2 linked regions of the Oryzias latipes genome follow. The protein of the gene in region 1 binds, or shares a complex with, the protein of each later gene. Links are inferred from orthologs where the notes say so. Each region holds a gene or a part of one and is shown on either strand. Other genes may lie near its edges. The genes, in order: arid2 and pbrm1.

Region 1 (2,597 bases):
ACGGCTAATTAAAAACAACTCTGATGACCCAGCATTCTAGCAGTATGTAAACGCATCATTAACACAAAAAACTTGGAGATGTGAGGTCTCACACCTGTACTATGGGTAAACGCGGTTTTGTGTATCAGTCGACTGTGCTTTTTAAAGATTTACATGTATAGTTAGTTTTAAGCTGCTGTTATTTAAAGTTGTGTGTGTGTTTATTGTATTTTGTCACTTTTGTACAAGTTAATACACAATTACAAGTACACACAGTTACGCACATTGTATTGTATGAGTTACAAATCAAAAACTATACACACACAAATCGAAGGAGACTGTTCTTTTCTTTACAGGATTTGTGTCTGCGTAATTTTTGATAACTGTGTGTACACTCAACTACCGAAAATATGAAATACACTTTACGCACTGACAACCTGAAATTTCAGCCAACGGCTCCAACGCACAGGAATCTTTAAATTGCACGCACCAGTCGCCCGATGCACACAGAACTGCACAAATCCGATGCAAGACTCGCCACATCTCCAAGTTTGGTGTTAGACGATGTGTTTAAATGCTGCTAGAATGCTGGGTCATCAGAGTTTTCCTTACAGCCACTTTGAACTTTATTGTGAATAATTTCTAGTAAAAACTTGATATTTTTCCACTTTCTTAAACGGATGCGCCCGGATAATTAATATAAAAAACAAAACCTCTAAATACGCTTTTAAAAAAGCTCAACACTGAAGCTAGACCTCCGGCCTTAAAGGGTTAACTGGCTTTCACCAAAAGTTTCTTTTACCAGGGTTTTGGCAGTGTTTGCTTTTGATGGCATCACCTCTACGATGTTTGCTGACTTGTGTTTTTGGCGTGTTGTGAAGGACACCCCCGGTGGCCGGCAGCCCCGTGGCACAAAGGGCGCCCAAAGCAATCATCAATCACCCGAGCGCCGCTCTGATGGCGCTGCGCAGAGGCTCTCGAAACCTGGTCTTCAGGGACTTCACTGTGAGTACAGCAGACTGACCCGGTGCAGTTCTCCTGCCCTTCAGAAGGGCTTTTGGTGGTGGGTGGGGGGCAGTAAGCAGCTCAGACTCCAGTCTGGACTGACACTGGAGTAAAGAGATCTGAGCAGTTTTATGTTTTTTACATTACTGTTGACATTTACTGATGAACGTTTTTTGTCAGAATTGCTAACTCTAAACCCCTCCCTTCTCTGTCTGTGCCTCCCCAGGATGAGAAAGAGGGACCAGTGACGAAACACATTCGACTAACTGCTGCCTTAACGTTAAAGAACATCGCAAAGCACTCAGACTGCGGTCGAAAGTGAGTATAAGAGCCAAAGATACACAACTTTCGCAGAATCGCACCAGAATCCGTTTACAACCGAATGGCACCAATTTCCGTCATTGTCATTATGGATATGGACAGTAGGGGTGCTATATAAACTCATCATCCTCTCTTTCACTCTCACTCATGGTGCAGAGACTTAAGCATAGTGGGACAAAATAACTCTGCAAAACTCGGTAAAACACAGTAAAACAGCTAAACAACTAAACACATTTGGTCAAAAACCCACACTTAAACCAAAATCCGTCCAGACAGGGAAAAGAAATGGTATCCCACAATCCCTTGCGGTGCCGATCTAACAGCAGCACCAAAGTTACACCTACTTATTTGAATCAATTGAATTGAAAGTAAAATAACTATCTGAAAACTACGTGTTACTTTTTAAACTGACCTAACAAAAAAAAGATTTATCTTAACTGAAGCAAATAATTAAGTTAGATCAAAGTAAAAAAGTTTCTCTTTCCAACATCCTTATGTGGTCTTATCCCCCTCTCACGGTGGAAAAAATATTATCTGAGCTTGTTCATCCACTAAATCATCTTCAAATGGACACGCCATGCTGCTTCACCTCACTGAAAACAAACTAACCTTCAACTAAACCTGCTCCAGACCAGGTTATGTGCAGAGCATGAGTTGCTATGGCAACGTGACCTACCCTGAAACATACCTCCATTTATCTGCTTCCTTAGCCTTACAGTGGTAACTCAAATAACCTGCTTTATGGAATACCCCCATGAATCTGTTTATAAGGGAACTGCAGCAGAATCTGTTTACAAATGGACCACTCCATAGTCTGTTTATTATGAACTCAATGTTGAGACTTGATCAGCCATGTCTTGATCTCCAGGTATTCATGCAGCGACTCGTTTGATTGGTCAGATTTATTTTTATAGTGTTTGTGTTCGAGCCTCTGAACCTGATTGGTGAAGACAGTTTGATGATAGCGAAACTCAAAAATGAAAAAAATCCGCCAAAGTTGCAGGTTTGAGAAAAACTGGGATCTGGTGTAATTACCAGATTGTGAAATCCTAGAAGGATTGCTTTTGGAACTGCACCTGGTTCTTTTGTTTTCAAACCAGGTGTAACCTGGAAGTGAACAGGATGCCTAACTTCAGCAGGGTTGTTGTTTTCCTCTCACACACTAATTTGTTTGCAGCTTTTCCTTAGACGTGTCTATATGTGTAGGAATCAAAGCTGCTGGTGTGAAACTTGAGCTTTGTGGGTCCATGTCTAAAGATTTGATTCTTCTCATTTGTCAGGTTGGTGAAGAG
Region 2 (3,829 bases), on another chromosome or scaffold:
TCCTGGAAATCCTGGGATATCATGAAAAGTTCAAGCATTTGAAAAACCAAAGGTCATAGCTGGAAAAAGCTGAAAGAGCTGAACATTTGAATAGTTGAATGGTTAAAAAAACTGAAAAATTGTAGAAGGAGATACTATAAAAAAGAAAGAGAAACAGGAAAACAAGGGGTTAAAGGGTTTACAACATTCAACCAATTAAACCAAATTAGAAAATGGAAAAGGTAGATATTCTGGGACATGGAGCACTGATTGGATGATGACGTTTGTTTGCCTTTTCAACCTATGTTATTTGTGATGGCGGTATCCACAGGCAGAAGCTTCTGACCACAATCACTGCAAAAGTTCAATCAACCTTTTACCACAGTTCAGGTAAAACATCCTTCTGCTTTCCCTCTTCTTCAAAGCTCAAACATGATCAACCAATCAGTGACATCCCATTGTGTCTGCCTTTTCCAGTTTCTTAGTTTGTTTCCTTATTTGTTTGGATTTCTAAAATGTAGTGCTTTTTCTGATTATTTGTTTTGCTTTTGTACTGTCATTGTGTTCTTTAATATGTTTGAGTGCTGAGTGATTCATTGATCTGATTTGCACTTCGAGGCCTCTGTGTTGTAGTAGAAAATGTCTCCAGTCAAAAGGATGATGAAGCTGATGAACCAAGGCATTTCCATAAATCTGATCCCTTTCATTCTAACTCAGACGACACCTTCCTGCTTAAAGGATGTCCTAGAGCAGCTTCTTGATGCTGTCGTGTCTTATACCGAACCAACGGGACGCCTAGTCAGTGAGCTGTTCCAGAAGCTTCCCTCCAAAATGGTACATGGGACCCCGACAATTCATATGTTAGGAGTCTTTACTCTAATTTGAAGTCTCTCTTTTGTTTAGCAATATCCAGACTATTACGCCGTCATCAAAGAACCGATAGATCTGAAAACCATCGCTCAGAAGATCCAGGTACCGGTTCCAACGGAGCTGTCTGGGTGTGACGAAGTTTTTGCTGTTTTTATCCACATCAAGTAAATTTTTTGTTCTAGTTGGGTCACTACAGGAGTTGTGCTGCCATGGCAAAAGACATAGACTTGTTGGTGAAGAACGCTAAAGCGTACAATGAGCCGGGGTCACAGGTTTTTAAGGTATGTTTCTGAGAATCTTATGTGCTGCATAGTGTCCGTCCGACCTTTCACACGTGTTCCTGGTATTTTGTCTGCTAGGACGCTAACACGATTAAAAAGATTTTTGCACAGAAGAAGTCTGAGCTGGAGCACGGGGAACCTGTCAAATCCAGCATCCGCATCAGGTTTGGACCACAACGACCTCTTTAAACAACGTCGGCGGGAACTTCAGCGAATTTTGGTTTGACCTTTTCTAACGTGTTCTCTGTAAGGAATAGAAAGTCAACTCAAGGGGATCGCCTCTCCGCCATCACCATGGCACTTCAGTATGAGAGTGACGAGGAGGGAATACTATCTGGTACCTTTGCTCCTCTTTCGTAAATGGACTTAGTTTTTCTCAGACATTGATGATGCTTCTTTATTTTGTGAAATCCCGTGTTTATTGTTCCTGCATTTGTCAGGCTCTGTCCACTATGATGAGGGGGAATCTGAAGCGGAGAGCATGACATCAAACATGGACATGAGCAACCCCATCTTCCAGCTTTACGAAGCCGTGCGAGGAGCCAGGAACAGTCAGGGCCAACTGATTTCCGAGCCTTTCCTGCAGCTGCCCTCCAGGAAAGACTATCCTGACTACTACCACCAGATCAGTCAGCCCATCTGCCTGCAACAGATCAAGTATGGCGGAAATAAGTGGAATTAAAAGAATATTTTAATAAGGAACAAATTCAGTGTTGGACAAAAGTTTCTCAAGAAAAATGATGTTGTTCACCGGGAAGTTTGTTTACCTCATGTTTTTGTTGCTTTTAGTTAAAAGTTCTTTTGTTTTCTTTGCATTTCTGCCCGTGAGAAGTATTTTCCCCACACATACTCACCCACTGTAAAGTCCAGTATTTCTGTGCCCTCTCCCCCTTCCCAAATGTGAGAACCCTCAATTCCCCACAGGAGCAAGATGAAGAACAACGAGTATGCGAGCGTGGAGCACGTCGACTCAGATCTGACGTTGATGTTTGAGAACGCCAAACGCTATAATGTTCCTCACTCCTCCATCTACAAGCGTGCGCTCAAACTCCAGCACATTCAGCAGGTCTGGTTTTTCTGCTCCAATCATCTTTTGATCTTTATTCAGTCAGCCACCAACTGTGCAGGTTCTTCCACTTAAAAAGATGAGAGAAGCCTGTACTCTTCATCATGGTTTCCCTCATCTAAAATCTCATTGTCTGATTTTTTTCAAATAATTTATTTGTAAATTATGGTGGAAAATAAGTATTTGGTCAATAACAACAGTACAGCTTTGTTATATACCCTTTGTTGTCAATGACAGCAGTCAAATGTTTTCTGTGAGTCTTGTGTTGTTGGTATTTTGGTCCATTCCTCCATGCAGATCTCCTCTAGAGTAGTGGTGTTTTTGGGTTGTTGCTGGACAACACAGACTTTCTTCTCCCTCCAAAGATTTTCTATGGGGTTGAGATCTGGAGACTGGCTAGGCCACTTCAGGACCTTGAAGTGCTTCTTATGAAGCCACTCCTTCGTTACCCGGGCAACGTGTTTGGGATGGTTGTCATGATGGAAGGAGGTTTTCATTTAAAATTTGACGATACATGGCCCCATTCATTCTTTCCTCAACACAGATCAGTCATCCTGGTCCCTTTGCTGAAAACAGACCCAAAGCATGATGGGTGAGATCTTGCGAGGAGTCTCAGATCGAGATTATCAGTGGTCTTGTATGTCTTCCATTTCTTCACACCAAGCTGCTTACCTGTTGCAGATTCAGTCTTTCCAGCCTGGTGTAGGTCAACATTTTGGTTTCTGGTGTCCTTAGACAGCTCTTTGGTCTTAATCATAGTGGAGTTTGGTGTGTGACTGTCTGAGGTTGTGGACAGGTGTCTTTTCTATAGATAACCAGTTCAAACAGGAGCTTTTAAAACAGGTAACGAGTGGAGGAAAGAGGATCCTCTTACAGAAGAAGTTACAGGTCTGAGAGCCAGAAGTTTTGCTTGTTTGTAGCTGACCAAATTCTTACTTTTCACCATAATTTGCAAATAAATTATTTAAAAGTCAGACAATGTTATTTTGTGTCCTCCATCATGAGCAAAATGCTAAAAGACGATATTAAAAACACCAAAACATCATTTTCATTAGAGTGGGGCTTTAAGAACACTATTTTTTAACTTCCATCAGTTTCTTTGTATTTTTCATGAAGTATAATGGCTGAATCCTGTTATTCGTGTAGCTGAAGAGGAAGGAACTTTTACAGAGAGAGGATGATGATGGTGACAGCATGCTCTCCTCAGCCACGTCTGACACCAGTACTACGAAAAGAAAAAGGTTAATTGCACCCATTTCATTCTCTGAACATTCATTGTGGAAGAGAACTTGGTGTTAATTCTGCTTTGTGTGTTTTCTAGTCATAAGAAGAATACCAAAAAGAATCGCATGAAGGCTCTGGTAGCTGCTGTGACTGAGGCGCGAGAGGCCGGCGTTGGTCGTAGACTGTGTGACCTCTTCATGGTGAAGCCCTCAAAGAAGGACTACCCCGACTATTACAAAATTATCCTGGAGCCCATGGACCTGAGGACCATCGAGCACAACATTCGCTCAGACAAGTATCTGACCGAGGACTCTATGGTGGCAGATATGAAGCTGATGTTCCGCAATGCTCGGCACTACAATGAGGAAGGCTCACAGGTGAGACTGCTCACAGTTTCTGAAGGTTCTCT

The links.
Region 2: arid2 (region 1) and pbrm1 share a complex: the UniProt entries of both Homo sapiens proteins name them as parts of the SWI/SNF-B (PBAF) chromatin remodeling complex. The link is inferred for Oryzias latipes from reciprocal best matches to the Homo sapiens genes ARID2 and PBRM1.

What each region holds. Positions count from the first base shown.
Region 1 is NC_019881.2:4,013,383-4,015,979, forward strand, and holds part of arid2 (AT-rich interactive domain-containing protein 2), read left to right. Parts: intron 1-860; coding exon 861-984; intron 985-1,210; coding exon 1,211-1,302; intron 1,303-2,585; coding exon 2,586-2,597. UniProt on the Homo sapiens protein: Involved in transcriptional activation and repression of select genes by chromatin remodeling (alteration of DNA-nucleosome topology). Required for the stability of the SWI/SNF chromatin remodeling complex SWI/SNF-B (PBAF).
Region 2 is NC_019863.2:2,537,175-2,541,003, forward strand, and holds part of pbrm1 (protein polybromo-1), read left to right. Parts: intron 1-696; coding exon 697-813; intron 814-882; coding exon 883-951; intron 952-1,031; coding exon 1,032-1,130; intron 1,131-1,208; coding exon 1,209-1,294; intron 1,295-1,381; coding exon 1,382-1,467; intron 1,468-1,570; coding exon 1,571-1,787; intron 1,788-2,054; coding exon 2,055-2,196; intron 2,197-3,342; coding exon 3,343-3,437; intron 3,438-3,517; coding exon 3,518-3,797; intron 3,798-3,829. UniProt on the Homo sapiens protein: Involved in transcriptional activation and repression of select genes by chromatin remodeling (alteration of DNA-nucleosome topology). Required for the stability of the SWI/SNF chromatin remodeling complex SWI/SNF-B (PBAF).